Oreochromis niloticus: one gene and its partner. The protein of the gene in region 2 interacts with the protein of the main gene of each other region in a pairwise test. Links are inferred from orthologs where the notes say so. Each region holds a gene or a part of one and is shown on either strand. Other genes may lie near its edges. The genes, in order: grap2b and garem.

What was found.
Region 1: the proteins of garem (region 2) and grap2b interact in binary tests that used the Homo sapiens proteins (3 or more experiments, as listed by UniProt). The link is inferred for Oreochromis niloticus from reciprocal best matches to the Homo sapiens genes GAREM1 and GRAP2.

Annotation. Positions count from the first base shown.
Region 1 is NC_031971.2:8,430,978-8,442,244, forward strand, and holds the start of grap2b (GRB2-related adapter protein 2b), read left to right. Parts: upstream 1-4,843; 5' UTR 4,844-4,903; exon of another isoform or gene 4,904-4,951; intron 4,952-7,628; exon of another isoform or gene 7,629-7,692; 5' UTR 7,693-7,833; intron 7,834-7,876; exon of another isoform or gene 7,877-8,021; intron 8,022-8,030; exon of another isoform or gene 8,031-8,179; intron 8,180-8,307; 5' UTR 8,308-8,318; coding exon 8,319-8,396; intron 8,397-11,267. UniProt on the Homo sapiens protein: Interacts with SLP-76 to regulate NF-AT activation. Binds to tyrosine-phosphorylated shc.
Region 2 is NC_031974.2:25,536,318-25,547,584, reverse strand, and holds the start of garem (GRB2-associated and regulator of MAPK protein 1), read right to left. Parts: upstream 5,214-11,267; 5' UTR 4,932-5,213; coding exon 4,811-4,931; intron 2,939-4,810; coding exon 2,798-2,938; intron 2,511-2,797; coding exon 2,380-2,510; intron 2,187-2,379; coding exon 996-2,186; intron 715-995; coding exon 560-714; intron 432-559; coding exon 1-431. Other genes in the region: ncf2 (neutrophil cytosol factor 2), read left to right, coding at 5,989-6,162, 6,368-6,450, 6,595-6,703, 6,853-6,987, 7,209-7,316, 7,541-7,600, 7,882-7,925, 8,660-8,801 and 7 more.

The DNA of each region.
Region 1 (11,267 bases), on a different chromosome or scaffold from region 2:
CACACAAACAAATACGTACACATGCAGGCACACACACACCCACACAAACACAATGCCTTATTACACCTGTACCCCCTTTGTTTTTCTTGATCCTGCATAATAAGCTGCAAAACAACAGATCCATGTACAGCTGCAGGTCACCTTGGAAACAGCTACCAAATGATTCTTTTAGCATTATAAAAATAAATAAATAAAAAATCATGCACATAAGCATCTGCAAGGTTGCATGGAGTCCATTTATCGGCCCCCTCATGGTAGGAATGCCGATTGTTTAGGCGCTGCTTCTTTTTTTTTCAGTTTTTTAAAATCACATTTTCTTTCAGCCTAGACGCAGGATGAAATGCCCGGCTAACACCACATGGGGATCTGAGCATCCATGGCAGGCCAACCACTGAGACCGACTGTGAATATCAGAGTGAGAGACAGAGACAGGAAAACCAACAGTGTGTTGGTGGTGGCAGAATCTGCTTGCTTTGGCCCCAGCTGCATTTCCATATGTACTCTACTTCAGCACTTCCTTTCTGTTAGGCTATCTGTACCGTCTGCCCTTTCTTTGTAGCATACCAAGTGCTTTTAGCTACAAGTCACACTATACACTCACACAGTGCTGCAACCACTTTATCTACCTCACATCCATGGCCAATTTACAATCACCAATTAACCTAAAATGGACATCTCTGGACAGTGAGGAAGCCAGAGTACCCAGAGGAAACAAATGTAGGCTGAGGAGAACGTGCAAAATCCAACGGAAAGGCCTCAGCTGGGATTTGAACCAGGAGTCTTCTTGCTATGAGGCAATTGTGCTAACCATGCATACTGTGCACTCATTTTTGCATCAAGTCACCATTTCTCAGGGCACCCTGTGACCTCTGTATGACCTCTGCTTCTTATGCGGACCATATATTGATCTCTTTGTTTCACTCTTTCAGTGTTTGGAGATTTGACCCTTTAAAGGGCAGAAGGCACCTGTCTCTGCAGGAGCCTGGGCTAATGTGTTGACATCACAAACCGTTCTCGTGATATTGTTAAGAATTCCCTTGAACTCTGTCACCACTTTTGGATTGAACAGTTTCACAGTTTTAGTTTCAGGTTCGTTTTAATCAATAGTTTCTATTGATTTGACCCACACTAGTGGCTCAAAAACACCTGAATGGATAAATAAGCCATTTATTCAGGCTAATGTAAAAAAAAAACAGCCAGAGGTTGTAAAAGTAGAAATCACCTGTACAAGACTATTTATGTTTAAATGTATCCATTTTGGTGTATTTTTGGTCACTTCAAGCTAAAAAAAAAAAGAAGAAGAAAAGCTTTAAAATTGGCAGCACGGTGGTTAGCACTGTTACCTCGCAGCAAGAAGGCCCTGACTTCACTTCCATCACCAGGCTGGAGATTTTTCTGTGTGGAGTTTGCATGTTCTTTCCAGGTACTCTGGCTTCCTCCAGCATTGGAAAGACAAGGAGTTAGTAGGAATAGGTTAACTGGAAACTCTAAATTGCCCGTGGGCGTGAATGGTTGTCTGTGTCTATGTGTTAGCCCTGTGACAGACTGGCGAACTGTCCAGGGTGTCCCCTGCCTCTCACCGTGAAACAGCTGAGATTGGCTCAGCTCACATATACCTGGAACAATCAGCACAAAAAACAGTACAGATGTGGTTCCCATTTGAAGCATTCTGATGACTTTTAGTGCAAAGTTCTTTTCTTTTCCCCAGCTTTTCCAATGAGTGCATTTCAGAGCTCCTAGCAGCAGCATGAACTGATTTGGTAGCATCAGTCCTTTTTATTCTCTGATTCTTTGGCTCTGTCTTGTAGTTATTTGACATTTTATTGTCATTTCTATCAGACAACACGGTGGTGCCCTTTAAAAGGACAGAGACAAATCACTGCATCCATCAGTGCAGCGATTTCATGCCACTTGAGTTTGGCATCTTTGCTCTCACCAGCCGATCCAAGCGAATCAAAAGGTGGCCAGATAGCATCACAAGAGATATAATAGCAGCAGAACAGTGAGTGCCCCAGTGCTAAAGCACAGATTTTGTGCTACAAGCATGCAAATGAAAAAGCTCAGCAATCAGGGTGAATTGTATCCATATCTGTGACATCATACACCTGAAAACTATTCAGAATTTAACCTAATCTGTGCCTAAGAAAGATACTGACATGTCACTGGCTTGTTATTTATTGACACAAATTTTCTCCTCCTACCTGATCCTACTCTCCTCTCATTCTTCCGTATATGCAGTTATAAATAAATAACACAATATATTTTAGATAAATTATTTGGCTTGAAGTGAAAATCGGTAAATTGGGAGGCCTCTCTTGCCAACAAATTGAATATTTTCTCATATTCTTATTACCTAAAATCAAATGAAACCCAAATAAGCACAAAAATGATCTGGTTCATGATCTGCAGTGTCACTTTGTGTTTCTCTGAGTTTGTGTCTATAATGGTCTTTACTGACTTGAAAAACATCTCAACCTTTTTTCCCTGAAGTCTGCTGCCACCATGTGGCAAACACAGAGCAACACTCAGTCTTTACATTTTGCAAACACATCCACTTCAGATGTCGAACAAGACCAAGTACAAAATTCCTATTTTGCCATAGTATGGTCATCTCAGGCACACAGTCCTGGCTTAAAGGAAGGGTGATTTTAAAGAAAAGGAGAGGATAAACTAATTGGCTTTACCAAAGCCCACCATTTGGTAAAAGAGTTATTTGAAACTATGAATCATGCAAAGCTTCTATAGTTGGTTCTTGTGACTGACTGGTAGATTCTTAGCAAAATATCTAATTTTTTCGACAGCAGGACTTACGGCTTCACATTTTCAACATATGTCCCCACTTCAGGAAGCAGAGGGAAGAGTGAGGCAGAAAGGATTTTCCCAAAATTGAAAATTGTGGAAGTGGAGGCAGACAGAGCGGTCAGCAGATGAGGTGGAGGAAGGACTGATTTAAGAACAAGGCGCTGGAAGCTCAGAGGAAGACATACCAGCTTCTGAGGAGCCATGGACAATGTGATGGCACCCACCATCACATTGCATAATGGATGGAAAAATAGGAAAAACAATGTAATTTAGGCCTCTGAAGTTTTGCATAAGGAAAAAAATGTCAGAGCACACAAACCAGAGCATGGTGCTCATCCCTGATGGCAGCACTAAAAATGAAAACATTCTGGAGCATATATGTTCACACCATGACTCAGATAACCAAGATATCCCAGTTATACCCAAATCATTCTTCAAGATTAGGTAGCCCATTAAGGTAACAAATGGTCATGATGTCCCTAATAAGCTAGAAAGAATAAAGCCTCCTGTCAGCTATGTAAAGAGTGGTCATTGTTTGCAGACACAAATAAAATGCAGGGGACAAAGGCGAACATTTGATGCAGGAATGATGAAAGGAAAATACAGTCTAATGATAGAAAGCAAAAGACCAGGACCCACAAGGAATAATTCCACCAAGAGGGGAAACACTAGGAACACACAGCAAAACGATGACTCAAAGGACAAGGGGACATGAAGGCAGTAAATATAAATGATAATAAGGCCAGGGATAACAAGACAAGGGAATATAAAGCACAGGTGACAAAACACTACCAACGTAAAACAGGAAGTGACTAAACAGAGATGACAAATTCAAACATACAAACCTGACACGGCGGGGCACAGGGGGAAACTAGGACAAACAACAACAGACTGTACAAACATGCCAAACAAGAATAAACAATGAACATTAAAGAATAATAAAGGATCTTCAATTATTGCACTTGTCACTCAGTTATTCCTCAGAGCTCACGTCTCCTGCCAAGTTCATTTTTATAGCATTGTCACCTGGGAAACAAAATTATTTCACATGTAAATAAAGTTAAACACATGCATGCTGTTTGTGAGAGCATCGGCTGCACCACAGCAGAAGCTCCAGCTGTGGGAAAAAGTTCAAACCGCAGTTCACCTGCTGGAGAAATGTTTAATAGGTCATCGTTACATCAGTGGAAAAGTTCACAGAAGCTAAACTTCCCCTGTTGAGTTTGAAGCTGAGGTGGACTGATGAAATGTCAGTGCCTCTGTGGCTTTCTTTGATATACTAATATTGTTGATACAGTTCGATGTGCTACGGCAAAGTCTGCAATTAGTGATGTTTTTTCTTCTCTGATTGGTTAAGCATTTGATTTTCTTCTGCAAATCCCCGTCCTTTCCATTTGCAGCTTTGCCAGATTGAAGTCAATGCTTTCATCTCTTTGTAGTGTTTCTCTGTGAGGACTGTGTATTTAGCAAATAGCTCTTGGCCAACAATCAACCACAATAATAAAAGCACCGGCAGATGAAGTGAATATTTCTGATCATCTTTTGAAGGACATAGTTCTGCGGGGAAACCCTAACATTCATGTGGATGTTAGTTTAACAAGCACTGCCTACCTCAGCAATGCAGCCAAACAGCACACCTTCACGGGCATTCCCCAGTCACAGGAGAATGCACCCTACCAGGAAAACAAAAGTTAAAATCCAAGGATGTCCATTCATCTATCCAGCCTAACCACTGTATACTCTGTATATCTTCTAATTTGCATTCTAAGATATTAACAACTTTTAGATCATGCTGTCAGGGGGCTGTCCAGTCTGTCATGTGTTTCGTGTGTGTGTCCACGTTGTCAAGCTTGTGTGTCATGTCTACGTTCCATTATGTTTCCTGTTATATTTTGAAAGTCTTGTGTTCCCATGGTCAGTGTGTTTAGTTTTGCTTCCCTTGTGGTGTCATGTTCATTTGTGTCAGCTGTGTTTCCCCAGGTGTTTCCACTCCCCTCATTATCCTTCTCATTATATCATATCTTTATCATTATCCTTATGTGTATTTTAGTCCTCTGTCTTCCTCCGTTCAGAGTTGGTCTGTCTGTTTACCTTGTGTCAGGTCGGGCCTCAGAGTTTTTCACGCAACTGTTCTTCACATTCATGTCTTGTATGTACCTGTTCAGTTCCATGTTCATGTCTCTCGTCATTGTTTTCATAGTTAGTTTAGTTATTTCACACTTTAGGTCTTCTTGTCCCTTTGTTTTGCAGTCAGCCTAATAAAGGCTCGCTTTTTGTTTAAACCTCTGTTCTTCTCTCACATATCTGCATTTGGGTCCACACCGCAAACACACCGGCCCACCGAGCTGTAACACATACTAATATTAAGCATGTTGGGGTTTTGTTATTTGGGTTACATGTGCTGGAAGACTGAGTCAACTGAGTACCAGAGTTTCTTCTCAATCAAATACAATTCAAAAATGCATTAAAGAGCTCTGTCTGTTAAAAAGCATTTTTAAAGCAAACTATTCTGCATGCTAGGTGAAAAAAATGTGACAATTAATGTGACAGAAAAACCATTTTAATGTGACGGGGTACTAATGGGGGAATTTACCACTTAGACAGTCTGACCATTAGGGATTTTACAGGCTGAGGAAAAAAGGGGAAAAATACATAGTTTCAAGATAATGCCAAAATACGCTTGATCAGAAATTCCATACAAACACCACAAACTAAAGCACTTCCTCTGAGGTGAGTAAAGACCTTGAATGAGGCTTACTAGGGCAACAGGGACCATAGAAAGGGGATTTGGCACATGCACACAACACAAACTAAAACTGAGCACCAAAGTGTCGCATAATAAAGGTCAAGCTATTACTGGTCAACAACAGCCAGTCCTGTTCAGCGAAGAGGAAAAATAAAAAGGTGTAAAATTACTGTCAGCTGGATTTAGTTAATGGCAGCTTGGCTTAATATTCATGACAATCAGCTATCATGATGAAAGCAACAAAAACACTTGAACTTCAACCAATTTACAAGCTTGTTGGGGCCCTAACAAAACATCTGCAGGGGGCCTCCAACCAGCATTGGTTGGTCCAACCATTGTTTATTGTAGAGGCTAAGTCTACGCTTGAAGTCATTGAGGTGTTCAGTGAGCAGGTTTGGCGTGATGCCACTGTTATGAATGAAAACCTGCAGTACTGATAAAATCCAATAACTCCAGCGTTGCTTATCCTGTCAGCTTAAGCATGTATTGCTCAACATTGATTGCCTTTGCCATTCCACAGTTCATCTTAATATTCAACATAAATCACAACAGCACAGCGGTCACAAGCTGTTTGGTCCCTCCAAACAACAACACCCTAATTAAATCTTCCTACTTTTAATAAGATAAGATAAGATAAGATAACCTTTATTAGTCCCACACGTGGGAAATTTGTTTTGTCACAGCAGGGAGTGGACAGTGCAAAAGTTATGAAGCAAAAATTAGAATAAAATAAAATAAGAATAAATACAGTACACAACTGTACAGAATAGAATAAAATAAAATACTATATACAGTAGAATAAAATAGAATAAAATATACAATAAGATAAAAATAGAATACAAATGCTTTATACAACTGAGTAAAAAATACAACGATGCCAGGAAGATTATTGCACTTAGTGTTATTGCACATGTGTGTGTTTGATCAGTTAAAGTCTTTGTTGTGGAGTCTGACAGCAGTGGGGAGGAAAGACCTGCGAAATCTCTCCGTCCCGCACCGTGGGTGCCGCAGTCTCCCACTGAAGGAGCTGCTCAGTGCTGTCACAGTCTCATGCATGGGGTGGGAGATGTTGTCCAACAGGGATGACAGCTTAGCCGCCATTCTCCTGTCACTCACCACCTGTCATTTACAAACACAACAAGTAACACATAGCGACACACATAAGGTAATAAACAGAACATGTATAAAACACACATATACAAACATATTATAAATAGAGTTGTTTTTTTTTTGTTTTTTTTCTTTAATATTTAGTTTGGGTTTCCAAGTACAGCAATAAAGCTGCCTTCTTAAGTTAATTCCCTAGTCTCCTCTAAAAGTGCCACTAACCCATCCTCTCCTATCTGGCAGTCCTCAGGTGCTCCACTGCTTGATCCCTGTCTTGCAAACACGTATCCAAGCTATACTAAGCTACTTGCCTGCCTTGTCTGGTGGAAAACCTCTGACACAAGAAACACAGAGAATGCACAAAATAAACTTGGCACATAATGACAAGCTGTGGGAAGGGAGGGTTTTTGTAGATCCAAGAAGCAGTTTATTACTGTGGCCAGCAGCAATGGCCACATTAAAAAAAATCAAAGCTGGTATTGTGCAAATTTCAAGTATAACCAAACAAAACTAACTCTGTATAATGAAGCAACCTGTGAAACCAGAGGGAGAAAAGAGTGACAAAGCAACACTAGCCAAAGAAAGACAAAATACACATGAAATACTTCAGTTTGCCAGAGAGCACAAAAGTATTTCAGGTGAAAGACAAATGTGCTTAAAATGTCTTGGGTGCAACCACAAGCCAGTCATAGTATGTCGGTAAACACACGTGTAACAACACCTCAGGCAGTTGTGACAGACAGAGACTTAAAAAACCTTTATCACAGCTTTGTTTTTCTTTGATTTGTTTGGTAAATAGACTTTAGTCAACATGATTTACAGTTACATATAAAATAATGACCTAAACATTTTACCTATATTATAATAAATCCAGTCGATTTTGACTGTTTGCAATAACTTTATAGAACTATAATATTTTCTTCTGCTGCGTTTTTTTTTTTTTGTTTGTTTTCCCTGATCTCTTTGCCAACAGATAAACAGATGCATAGAAAGGCTCCTATCTGTTTCTATGCATCTCTGCACTGTGTCTATTTCAGTGCATGTGAGTGTATGCTGGCCAGAGGTGACGGTGTTTCCTGTGAACTGACAAGGAGTTCGTCACCTCTCTTTGTAAATTTCTCACTTCTCTTCGTAAGCCGCATGAACGCAGCTCTGTCTGGAGAACAGTACAAAGGGGGGTGAGTAAACCTAACATTTTTGCCTCTTTGATGAGGTACTTGGCAAGTCGTCATTTTGAGTTATGGCTAGCTGCCCTCCTGTTTTCCGAGCAGCCGCATTGCTCCTGGTTCTCTGAAGACACAATGCGCAGCCCTTCAAATAAAACTGTTTTGTGTGTGTGTGTGTGTGTGTGTGGACAAAATTCAAGGTGAGAAAATATGCTTTACGGGCGCTTAAAGGATTTTGTTGTAGAGGTGCTAACACAGGTTGTAGTCGTAAAGGATGCACGGAAAGGACGTAGCGACTGTCCTTGATTGAGTGGGGAATTATTCCGTCCATTAAGATACTAGAAGAGCACCAACTGATGTCAGTGCCATGTTTCTTTTGATGGGTGACTTACACACGTCTGTTTTCCCGGCTCATTAATCACTTCAGTATTTTTATCTGAGCACACAGGAGTACTTCTAACCTTTTGTTTCTTCATCCCTTCTTAGGTTTGTCTACGATGGAAGCTACGGCCAAGTTTGACTTTGAAGCTAATGCGGAGGATGACCTGAGCTTCAAAAGAGGAGACTGCTTGAAAGTAAGGATCACACACAGACATGCAAACACTTCCTTGGTTTGCTTTTAGCAACAGCACTCTTCACACAAGTTATAAAAAGTTGTCAGCATGCAAAAACATTCAAATGTCAGGTTTTATATATATATATTGCATATAATCCAGAGTATTTCCATGTATATTAGTGCTTTATCACACTTGTACAACAATGGTGCACTGTACTATTCTCTGAAGCCCTCTTCAGTTCTCTGTGCAGCCAACCACGACTGCATCCTGCTGCTTAAGTCCGAGTTTCCTTCCTGTTTACGTTGCCATTGCAACAAAATCTTTATATCTTCTTGACAGAATCAAAAAGTAAAATCATATAGCAGAGGTGAACGCACAAATAACATCAAACTACCAGACAAACAGATACAATAATTCTTGACTCACCTTTCACACATTGCTTTTGTTAGCTAAGCACCTTGCTGAAGCATTAGTTCAAGTATATACAGCTGCAACCTTAATCTAGGTGCTTTATTGTTATGATATGTTTCAAACCATGTGAACAATGGAAAAACATGTTCCGGTGTAAACCTCTCAGAAAAGCTGTTAAAAGTGAGGTCTCCTGTAAAAAGGTGTTGGCTTTTGTAACCCGCTGCAGGCCGAGCCAGTTTTATTTCTGCACTGCAGCATGTAGCGCAGGTACATCCACTGCACCCGGCATTAAAACACTTCCATCGGTGTATTGGTGTATAGCATGTGGACATACACAAAAGGTATACAAGGAAATGGATCAGCAAATAACTTTACAAACACCCACAGCTATCTCACACAGTCAAACCACAAACACACACACGACTAATCATAACTGAGTGAAAAAATATTCTCAGTTTCCACAGTCTAGGTCATCTGGTACTTTGGCCTAGTAAATGGCTTAAAAGGACCCATCTATATCTATATGTTTATATCTATATCTCTAGATATAGATATAGATATAAAAACTACTACACAGCTTACTGGAACACTTGAACATCACAGTAAAACACAAAGTCTCTACATAATCATGCATCTTCAGGGAAACTTAAAACACTGTTAGTACAAGCGACAGTGACAACCAATACACTTGGAGAAGTAACAAGAGAACCCCAAAGAAAATGGTTTTGCAGGCGATTTCTCCGTAGCTCCCCTGAATTTTCCTTGAGTTTTGCTTTTTTATTAGTTTCCTTGTCACTGCTGGTAGCACCAGACAATACCTGCAGCCCATTCAGGTTGTACATGTAGTCTGACTCGTACAGGAGGGAAGTGTTGCTGTGTCTTCCAGCACAGTCTCAGGAGTGTAGGAGGAGATACAAGGAGACAGGCTGTTACACGGGGACAGTGTTGGTCAAGTTACTTGACAAAAGTAATTAGTTACTAATTACTGATTACTTGTCCAAGAAAGTAATCCTGTTACTTTAATGATTACTTATTTCCCAAAGTAATTAGTTACTTTATTACTGAGTTACTTTTTAAAAACATGACACCTCAATATGTAATAAAGTAATAGATCTTTCAGCCCAATTCTATTTTTTCTGCATAATCCATCATATAAAATTGAATCAAATGAATGCAACAGTCTTTGACTTGAAGAAATTAATTTAAAATTTAAACCTATTTTCTGCATATTCCAGCATATAAGATAAAATAATTTGTTGTGTTTACACTCACTCTTTCAAATATATGCAAGTAAAACACAAAAATGAATAAAATCAAAGATTCAGCGACAATAAGTCCTGTTGCTCTTAAATCTATTTTCACCTGTTTAGCAGGAGTGGGGCGGGTGGACGTTTGCCTGATGCTGCAGCTGTTGTGTCAGTGGGGGGATCCAGGGGTTTCTCTGTGAGTTTCACACACCCGTGGCAGCGTGCTAGGTGCTTGCTCAGATTTGAAGTTAAATTTTTTTGCTGTAGAAAGTTTTCTACAGTTTTTTTCCCACGCAGAGTGAACAGCGGACGCTAATGTTTTTGTCACTTTTTACAGAATCAAACTCAAAGTAATGTCAGTGCTTCCACGCTTTAATGCTGCATGGTCGTACTCTCTCCCGGCGTTCCATCATCCATCGCTGATCTGCACACATCTGTTGCTGCCATGGATGTTGCACACTCGTACATCAATTGTCACAAGACACTCTCACAAACAAAATCACGATTTAGTAATGAAATAGTAATCCCTTACTTTACTTGTTACTTGAAAAAAGTAATTGGATTACAGTAACCCGTTACTGCTGTAGCTTGAGTGCCTGTGTTGTTATTTTCAGTTGTATTCCAAAATCTGCATTATGTATTGTCAGAGTTTAGTTGGCAGCAGACAGGGATCTGCAAATAAGTAGAAGGCTGTGTGTATACACCAGTAAGTGACAACTTTAGCAAAACTGGTCTAATATAGTGAAGAACCCTCTTGTATCACTGAACTAGAATTGTTCTATCGGCACATGGACAAAAAATTATTGTTTAAGACAGGAGAACAGAGGACCCTTTGGGTCCTGTGGGTGGTGGGGTGGGTCCCACTTTGATCAGGGTTATTTAGCTGCATCCCCTGGATGTCTGGATCATCTCCAGTTGAGCAGTTTTGGACTGTTGTCATTACCATGGAGGGTGTGGTTGGTTTGCAGCAGTGTTTAATCAGGTGGTAGGTAAACAAAATCCAGTTAAATAAATGTCAACAACCAGTGTGTCCCAGCAGAATGCTGTGCAGTAAAAACAATCATTAATGTTCACCTCACCTGCCAGTGAATTTAAGCTTGTGGCTGACTGGTGGACATGTGCGCGTGCTGATGCACAGAGATCAGGCATTGCTCCGGGCGGGAGTGGCTGTTTCACTGTTGACACGACAGTTAAAACTCATTTTAAGACACTTCATTTTGACATAATTGTG
Region 2 (11,267 bases):
GGCTCTGCTTGGTGTTAGATGCATCTATTAGCTTGTCGCTGTACATTTCTGAATTGCAGCTTGAAGATTTGTTGCAGAAAGGACTCAGAGATGCTTTCGGCAAGTCAAAGTCCTTACTGCGGTGTGCATACTCTCGGCCATCAAAGTCAACAAGGCTGGTTGTACAGGTTTTTGGAGTGCTTGGGGTTCTCTTTCTGGGGTAACTGTAGTAACTTCGACAGGTTGTAGGCAGAAACTCGTCCATGCAATGTGAATCCCCTCCACTGAAATGATTTGGCCAAGACAACCGCGATGAAACTCCATCTGACGGCAAGCTACCACTGGGCGAAGCAGCCTTCGGTTCAGTGCTGCTGGAATTAGCCCAGCTGCAAGGGTAGCACACGTGGCTTTGCTCTTGTGGGTCAGTTCCTTCTTGCTCACATGTTCCACTGCTAATGGAAAAATAGTAGATTAATTTATAGCATAAGAATAGCCTCATACATGTATACATAGAAAGGTACAAAACTTGATATCTCACAGCATTTGTTGTGAGAATGTGGGTGACAATTTAAATTCTTACATGTTGTGGAGACCAGAAGAATAATAGGAGAGGGTTGGACTTGGAGACCGAGTTTCTTGCTGCCGTGGCTTCAAAAGGACAGGCACTGATGGTATCTGTTTCAGGCCTCGTGGTGGGATTGGTGGCGCATTCAAAAGACGACATTCTTCCTTCACCTAGGATGAAAAGAGTTTATGTTGAAACAGTAACTAAAGCTTACGTTCTTACATTACAGTCATTCTTCAAAGAACCCTTAGGTTCAGCTTTTTATCTGCAACAGCCAATCAAACTTGTTGTTTTCAAGTAGTTTTATTTATTAATTTACTGCATAGCAGCTACTCATGCTGGCTTTTGCTGTAGTATTAAAATACACTTGTTGTCAGTGTATTTGCCATCAAATCAACTAACACTCCAATCCTAGGACTGAAAACTCTTGAGTGCAATAGATTATACTTACAGCTTCAGACTTTGGTGGGACTGGTGGAGGAGTAAGAGGCACATCAGAGCTGGTTATGGCACCCAGAGGACAAGTGACTGGGTTTGTCAGTGCAGCTGTTGTGGCACAGTCACTGTTGAGGCCTCTGATTCCTTCGCTTTGAGAGGCTTTTGGAATCTGACTTCTCAAGTGATCCAACCACAGCTCCTCATAGGGAACATCCAGCTTGTTGAGGGTTGGTTGTGGGTTTGTGCAGTCCAACAGCTCTGGGAAAAAGTGTTCATTCTCTTCTGAAGGATGACTGTCAGAAGCCATAAGAGCCCAATCTCCGCATAGTGTCATACAACCCTGCAAGTTGACCTCACTGTTACCGTGCAGGTTGCTGCCATACACGCACACAGACAGTCGGTGGAAGGACTGGGTGAGTTCATCTCGGGCGTAAGTCAAAGAGCTGGGAATTTGCATATGATTGGGACAGCCGCTTGAACTCCCGCTTCCTCCACTGCTACAACTACCATTTCCACTGCTTTTTTTGGGGCTTTTGCCATCTTCATTCCAGTCTGTTCGTACGTCCCGGACAGCACGAGAATAGTCATCGATATCAAACTGTTCCTGGCAGAACGCAAACCAGCGATGCACCATAGTATCTAACCACAACTCTCCTTGCAGCAATTCTTCCGGAACAATAAATCGTGGCATGGCTATATGAAACGGAAAATGGATAGGGATAATTTTATTGCTTCGCAGAATGCAGCACACAACCACTGTTTTCGTCTGAATGTTGACCAATTTGTACCGATGACCCTCCCTAATAAGGTGGAGGTCATACTGGTTGCGGGGTGGAGTGCTGGGTACTGTCACATTGACAGGGAGACGAGTTTTCTCCACAATGTTCCTGATGTTGTGCTCGCCGTCTTGCATCTGAAGCTCAAGTGGACTGCAGGTGCTGAACCTGCCTTTGCACTGGAACGGCAGGCTGATGCTCTCATTGGTGCGATGGTTCATGCAAATCAAGCAAGGCATCTTGCCTCGACCGATCTTACTGATGGAGTTCAGCTTTCCAATCTTCTTAAAAATGGTGTTGAATCTTGATTTTTCTTTGAAGCTTTTGGCGTAAAGGATCTCAGCTTGGCCCATTAACGTCAGTTCATCACCAGTGTTTAGTGTAATGTTGTAAACCTCTGTGTCTTCATTGCATTCCCCTGAAGCCATCTATGAAAACATTACATACATGAATTTCGATATACGCAATGAAATGAATCTACTTTACCAAACTTAACTTGGAAAATTTTAAACTTTAACTGGAAATCTAAAGTTATGAAATACTCTTGGTGGAAGCGTTTAGAATTATAGCTATATATCCTTATTCATAAACCTCACATAAAAATAGATGGATTAAATGTACCTTAACATTGAACATGATTTCCTCCATGACATATACCCTTTCAGGGAACGCTTTGGCCACTTCCTCCACGCTGTTGTAGTACTGCACAGGCTCTTTGACATCTCTGTCCTGCTCGAGCAACTTGAACTGACCTACGAAAAGATGGAAAAGACATGTCAATGGTGTTTTGCACGCGTTTTGCATCAACACAGACTTACAACTATAAAATTACATAATTTATTTTTGACTTATATATTTTAGTGAATAATTCTTCAGTTTAGGCAAAGATGCATCATCAAATATCATATTTAATATCTGATAATGGATATCATATAAATACTGTAAAGCGCTTTCAGTGCTCGGATAGAGTAGAAAAGAATTAGTCCATTTACCATTTACAAGACAAACTAAATAAACATCGACTGTGGCTGCATCTCACCTTCATAGTGAACTGGGATCTCTATTTTGGGCCCAATGACATAATGTCCCTCCTCCAGACTGTGAGCAGTAATAGTCGTCCACTGACGACAGGAATGAATCAAGAGGTAGTCATTGTCTCTGAGCCCTTCAACCAGCTGACCTACAGGTAGTAAAAAAACAAAACAAAACACTATTTACAGAGCAGAAAACAGCATAATTTGCATAATTACAACTTTAAATTAATCGCCAAGTAAGCACTGAACCATCCAGCAACAAAACATCTAAAACAAAAAATGTTCATATCTATGTTTTCACCAGGTGGTGTCTTGGATGTGGGTCATGAGAGAACTATTGAACCTTAATAACTACAGAGAACAGGCCATTCAATTAAATATCACTTGGAGAAACACTGCTTTTACCGTTTCTGTTTTCATACCACTCTTTAGCCATACAGTCTGCTCTATTCAAACTGAGGCATTGGATTACCAAGCACATTTAAAGTCACTATGGATTAGGCCATTAGTCAATGACTAATGGCCTAATCCATACCTCTCTAAAAAGCATGCTCTATCATTCAAAGTACAATACACCACTTTAGTTCTCCATAAAAGGCCAAGCATGTGTCAGGAAGATGGAGAAAATTATTCAAATTATTAATGATCTCAAAGTGCAGGGCACAGTGAGCATGTTTATTTTCAGGCATAACTGAGGATAAAGTAGTTTTAAATATACACTTTCAGACCCAGGTCTGTATCAGAATCAGAATTATTGAAGTATTCTGATTCTGATTAAGATACAAGTTCAGACCCAGGATTGTATTAACATATAGTTTAGTTAGAGGTATAGTAACAGTACTGTGTAAAATTCTTGAGCCCCCACTCATTTCTTTATTTTAATAGGAAAATGGGAAATGGCTGCAACATGTGAAAACATACATGGAAATACAGGCTATACGCAAATGCAGAGTTTGTACAACTCTAACAAAATTGAAAGTAAATATTTGATTTGACCACCTTTATTCTTTAACACAGCCTAAACTCTAAAGCAGCTTTCTTGTAATTTCTTTACACCAGTTGCTGCAGTGCAGCCTCCACCCTATTTTACAGGTGGCTTTAGTCACTCCTGACCTTCTCTGTACATACTCACAATGCTCTGAACCAAACATTTCTAAATTGCATTCACTGCTCCATCAGACCTGATGCTACTGATTTTCAGTCCAGTTCTTGGTTAATTTGGTATTTTTAGTGGACTCAACTAAATAAATGGGAATCAGAGTGTATACAGAAGACTGGCTGCTCCATTTAAATGAGGTACTTTTTTTTGTCCTTGAAGAAAACTGTCAGATACTGGAACTACAAAAACTTTGAAAAACCTTCAGAAAACCTGGAGAACTATTGCTCAAGACCACTTCAAAAAATGCAATAAAGTCTGGCTATTTGTAAGCAAAATATGAAGAAATGAGTGGTGGCTAAATACTTTTGCACAGCACCATAACATTATCATGTCTTAATTCTTAAAAACAAATAAATAAATACTTGTCTTTTTTGTAACCAGAATGAAGACAATGATGCTTCTCAGCTTAAACAGAGCAACTAGGTTACGATTTAGTTATAAGATTGGCATTGCGACTCAGCCTGCAACAATACATGTATATTAAAAAATGTGGCTTTCCAATGGTGGAGCTAGACAGTATGTGGTACAACTCATCAGTCGTTGCAATATAGTTTTTACAAAACCTGAAATAACTTAGAATAACTTCATTACAGAAATGACTATAGGGTTTGCACGTTTAATACCAAAAAAGGTGAGATCTGCACAACGGATGCAAAGGCATTACCAAAAATAAACCAAAAAACGAGAATAAGAAAACGCTTATTTTGTAATGTAAACTAGACCACACTGTTGAGAAACGGTAAGTCACACGGCTAAACTCAATCGCAAAGATTTATGTTTCAGGCTTAAGTTTGCCTTTGCTGCTAGCTAGCAGCTAACAAGCGCTGCCCTGATGGCGTGAAAAAGTAAAGTTACTTGCCGTTATCCAGCTTGACAATTTGAGGCAACTTATAAGCACTGACAAGTTGATCTAATGGTAAGGACGTGGTACTCCATGTAACTTCTTTTAAATTGTTGTACAACATTGATCCAAGGTCCATTTTGCTAGCTTACATTAGCCAACAAGAGCTAGCTACGTGTAAACACGGTCACAAAAGGCTACACTAAGCTAACGCACTAAATAATATAGCGACTCTCCGTCCACGGTGTCATATCACGCATGGCATGTTTCTTAATAATCTTCGCATTTTTTCCTTTAAATTTGCCTACGTATCATAAAGAGTCGTTGTCTGATAATGTAGCAGACCCATGTTTGTTTAACTACCGATGGGGCCAGTGCTAGTTTGGATCAGCCGGAGGGAGGCAGCGCGCAAGTCGCTCTGCTGTGATTGGTGGAGACAGTCAGCGTAGGTGGGCTCAGGCGGTAGAGAACCAACCACACAGCAAGGAAGCTGGAATAGTTTTCTTCTGAAGGTAAGGAATACATACTTTGGTAAACAACAGAAAAAAACCCCACCAATATAACTGATTTCATTTACAATACAAGTGAATTAATAAAGCTGTGCTAGAGTGCAAAGCTTGTACTAGTAGGTCACTATCGTTTTTAAAAACTTTAAGCCGGAAGTTGTAGTTTGTGCACTTGCACTGTTTCTGATAACTAAAAGACAACAAAAAAGAATACCGACTGCCTGTTTCGAAGTGTTTTTACCTGCTGTAAATCGTGATTCAATAAATAAATAAATAAACAAATAAATAAAAAACCCTATTACTTTCAGTCTTTCTTCTTATCTTATCCTTGTTTACTGACACATCATTAAGTTGTTCTTGTGTAATCACATTCCCTACACCCTGTCCGTCAACATTCCTGGAAATCTATGGCTAAACATCACACGCATGACATATGTGGTGATGGGAACGTATAACAAAATCAGATTAGCTTTATTTAAATACCACACACAAATAATGAATTGTCATGTAGATGACAGAACATCACATTGGGAAAAAAGGGACAACCCTTTAGCTTTAAGACCTGGTGGTAATGTGATATTTATATATACACCAACAATGACTTTCATCACACTTCCTCTTCTCAGTGGTACAAATCAGAGGAACTTCCTTACTGTGGTCTGTAGCTCAGTGTACTCCTAACCTGCCAACATGTCTTTTGTAGACACTCTGCGCCACTGGGATGAGGCGGTAACTTGCGTCAACAGACAAGATTTCTCCAAAGCACTTGAGATTTTCTTGGCTATTCAAGAACCAAACTCCAAAATTTTTTTTGACATTGGCTGTCTCCATCTTCTTAACCAAGACTTCGATGCTGCTGAAAAGGTATGTCTGATCTGCAGGCTGAAGCATAAACACACAAATATTAACAGCTGTCGTATCAGCACATTAGTCCAAACAAGAAACTCTTTTGAAAGTAGCTGAAATAAAATTCTCTGATATGCTGTGTGAAAGCGCAAGTCACTGAGAAAGGAGAAGTAGATCTTACCATGTTTTCTAGAGGAAGTGACTGTTTTTTTCTGTTTCTCAGGCGTTTGATTGCAGCATACGCAAGGATGAACATTTGGCCATCGCCTTCTTTCAAAGAGGAATCACTTTTTACAAAAAGAAGAGGCAAGACACACCTGCCTTTTTCCTTTTTTTTTTTTAAAAAAAGGGACCATATTATTTTTTAAGTTTAATGACGTTATTTAAAAATGCTTCATAGTATATCATATGCAAATGTTTTAACTTTTGTCTCTATGTCTCTATGTAAAGGTATGAGGAGAGTTTAGCTGACTTCCAGAAAACCTTTAAAACACTCAGGGGCAACCAGCTAATAGATTACAAAGCGCTTGGTCTCAGATACATACTATATGCTTGTGATGTGAGTATTCTTGATAACCCGCCCTATTATTAATCCTGAACACTACATCCAAATAATTCATTTGATGTTATGAGCTGTTCATTCATAATACAACTTAGCATTCGTTTTTTTTCCTGGCCAAGGACACAAGCTTAACAATGTCTCCACAGGTTCTCCACAATATGGCCCTGGTTGAAGCTCAGTTGGGTAGATGGGAAAAGGCCCAGGAGTACCTCATGAAGGCTCTTGACTACAAGACAGAGGCCAGGTTTAATATCATCGACAAAGCTCTGCAGTCAATCCTAGTCAGTTGTGATACAATCACTTTTGTGAACCCATTTAAATGTGATTACATGTATGATATCAAATGTAGTAGTTTTTCTTCATTCCATTAACCTATATTTGGTAAGCTAATATGCTTTATTCTAATTTTGCTTTAAGTCAGGTGGATATTGATATGCACGACTGCTGTATTAACCACCGGCAAATATTTTAAGTTTCACTCACAATGAAATTTCACCAACAGAAACAGAAACTTTTCAAACTGGTCGAGTTCCAATCAAAAGAGATGTTCAAACCAAATAAGCACTATGTTGCAGAGCTGGAGAAGAAAGACTACCTGGGCAAAGCAAAGGTGATCTGTTATACAGCCTGTTCTATCTAATCTAGTGTGATTATAAAGCTATCAAAAGTCAGCATCACAACATTTTATTATGTTAGGTAAAATGTCAGTCACTCATTTTATATATATATATGTACACACATACAGAACTTACACATTTGAAATTACTCAGAGAAACCAATAAGTTTATTGTTGAGTGATATCTATAAGCTACTTTCCCCCCCTCTTATCATCAGGTCGTTGCCTCTGTTGTTCCTCAAGATGAGTTCTCTGGATTTGCCCCATTGCAGCCTCAGGTGACACACTGGCTTTTATTGACAATAAAAACTTTACAGTTTGATGACAGAAACAGCAGTGCGTTCTTATCTTCTGTTACTTTATATTAAAATATGCTACCTTGGTGCCTGTTTTAAAAGCTTCCAGTGATCCACATCAACAAAATGGAAATGAACTTGTGCTGCATTATAGAGCAGCACTGCAATCCTTTACAATGTTAAGAATTACTGTTAGATTGAAACTTTACATATTCCAGTGTGTTGCCATGTCTCTGATGGACTGTGTTTTTTTTATTTGATAGGTGGAAGATGGTCCAACTTGTCCAAAAGAGCCTGTGGTTCTGAGGTATGATAGTCACTTTGGATCCATGCAGATTTGAAACTCTTTAAACAGAAATGATCTTAGTATTTAATGATGTTATAGTTGGCAAGTTTTTTTGATATGTGGATTCTCTACTATACATGTTTAGTACAAATACAAAATGGGGGAAAGCATGAGTCATATCTATGAAACTTTGCTTTCCACAAAGAGAAAATGTGACTCAAAGTGTAGATCTAATAATTAAAACCTGAAAATAGAAATGTACCGTTACACAGAATAGTGCCAACTTTAACCTTTGTGTCTTATGTCTCTTCAATTTCACATCAGTTCAGTTCAGTTTTATGTATACAGAGCTAAATCACAACAACAGTCACCTCAAGGCACTTTATATTGTAAGGTAGACCCTACAATAATACATACAGAGAAAAACCCAACAATCATATGACCCCCTATGAGCAAGCACTCTGGTGACAGTGGGAAGGAAAAACTCCCTTTTAACAGGTAGAAATTTCTGGCAGAACCAGGCTCAGGGAGGGTTGGGGTGAGAGAAGGAAGACAGGATAAAAGACATGCTGTGGAAGAGAGCCAGAGATTCATAATAAGTATGATTCAGTGCAGAGAGGTATATTAAGACATAGTAAGGGAGAAGAAGAAATACTCAATGCATCATGGGAATCCCCCAGCAGCCTACACCTATTGCAGCAAAACTAGGGGAGGATTCACTCTTGATGCCATGTGGACATTTCTTGTGTTTACAGGGCTTTGGAAGGAGATCCGCACACTGTGCTCTTTGAGTTTATTCCTGAGACCAGTGATGAGCTGGCTGTAGTGCCGGGCAATATTGTGTTTGTGTTGCAGAAGGGTGCTGACAACTGGGCATATGTGGTCTTCAATGAAAGAGTAAGATCTCCACATCTGAAACTTATTGTACAAATTTTAACACCAGTACATTGTGTTGTTTTTATGCACTGAAGCCAGTATTCATATCAGGTACTTTTATCACACAATTAATGCATTGCTGTTGTCTGCTGAGAGTATACATGGCTGTGATGTCTTTCACAGAAGGGCCTTGTTCCTTACAACTATCTGGAACGTTTGGAAATCTCCTTAGCTTCTAACAAAAACAAGGTAAGCATTTATTTTTCATTATTCTCAATTGTTGGTGTCATAATCAATTACTCTGGTAATGTCAGTGCTTAAAACATTGTAGTTTCCTTTCCAAGCTTTCCTTTCATTCTTTCCAAGTTTTTAAAATAACACAGACTTTACTTTTCTTTATTTTGAATGGGAACAACTATAAACAGGGAATAACTCCACCTCCAAGCCGAGAGCCACCCACCAGACCTGAAAGGATACAAGGTAGGCTTTTCTGGTACAGGATACAAAAATTAAATGAGGATTTTCCAATGATATCTGAGCCTTATGTGAAAAATCTAATTTTCCACATTTTCTTTATGTAAGGTCTTACGCCAAGAGAAGCCACTAGTGGAAATCGTCAGCGTCAGGTATGCCAAAGCAAAGAAAATGAGAAGTACTGAGATGTTTAATTCTGGCTGTTATTTTAAGTTCTTTTATTTCCTCTCATCATTTCCAGGAGAAACAGTCCACAGACAATTCATGTATCGTCAAAGTGCATTTCAATTTCAACTTTGTCGTCTCAGTCCCGTCTGGGTCACCCTACACAATGCTGATTGAGAAAATCAGCAGGAAACTGAATCTTCCTTCTTCTGCAGTCACCTTGAGGTAGAGCACATCATTAAGAAAACAAGAATGTTTGGTATGCATTGTTTGTACTTACAACTGAATACCTTTACTGGGTTTAGTTTAACCTCTGAGGCAAGTGAACAAAGTGTAATCAGTGCCAACACAGAAATGGAGAAGCTGTGGAGCCGTGCCAGCAGTGGGCGTGTCACTTTGTGGTGTAACACCAAGGAGGTAAGAGAGCAACCATCTATTGCCATGTTATTGCTGTTGTTACAGTAACAACGGCAATAAGTAGTAAGTAAAATATTCCCAGTATTAGCGATACTGAAGTACTTTTAGTATCTTTTTGTTTTTGCACTCCTGTTATAATTTCCGTTTACACTGATAACCATTGTGGATGTTTTCGGATTTCAGGAGGAGGTTCACCTGGTGGCACTTCACTCCTACGAGTCGTCAAATCCCGAAGATCTGAGTTTTCAGCAAGGGGATAAAATCAAACTGCTCTCTAAAAGTGAGGCTTCATTCTTTTATACGTCAAACATACATAAACAATTTGATGGAATATATGATTCTAATTCACGATTTGTTCATCTTCAGTTAACCAAGACTGGTTGGAAGGGCAGTGTAACGGGAATACTGGTATATTCCCTGCATCCTTTGTGGAAGAAGTTCCTGCAAATAGCCAGTGATTTATGGCCAGGTTTACTAATCTGTTATAAAAGCTTATAAAACACTGATTAACAATTTTTCAAAAGTTGTCTGCTTTGGTGATAAAATGTGCCACTTCTTTTGATATACCAAGTCCAAATATGATGATTACAATAGCTGATTATAAATGCTTAAAATGTTACATTTTCCACTTATGTACATTATTTAAATGACTTATAGTCAAAAATTTTAAGTCTATATCTTTGCATTTGTTTATGTGGCTTCATATGAATTTCACCTTTCTTCATTATGTAACAATTAAAAAGAGCACTATATAAAGACTTACTATCAAACTTTATATTAGAAAAAACACAAAAAAATAGGACTGCATTTATTTAGAGGCCATCCTGACAGGCCTGGTCCAGATACCACAGCTACGTAGGATGTTGCAACATGGAGTCAGTTATATTAGATCTCCAGAAGATTATGATGTGTACAATGTTGTGCAAAAGTCTCAAGTCACCCCTTATTTTGTCCAAGGAGCCAGACTTTCTTGTAATTTCTTAAAGGGGTCTTGAGCAATAACTACTTAGGCTTTCACCCATTTTCCTAGTAAAATACAGAAATGAGGGGTGGCTCCACACTTTTGCACAACACTCTTATTTAACAATGTAAAGCAAATGAACACATGAAATACAAAGGTTATATGCATTTTACTTATTTTGCTAAAGAAAATGAAAAATATGAACTGTGGGATATTTTAATATGTTCAACAACTTGTTTTCTTTTCTTTGCAGTGTTACAGATTTCCTGCTACTATAAAGCTCAAACCCAGGGTCAGTGTAGAGGTCATAAGATTCGAAAAGTGCATTTTTATACTTAATACATTTCCACTTCATACAAGGCCAATTTCATCCAAGTTGCGTGAATAATTTAAGATGAGTGGTCATCTGACACTTTGAATCTTAGAAAAAAATAGCCAGAGTTCAAAATACATTTCAGTCATTTCCTGGT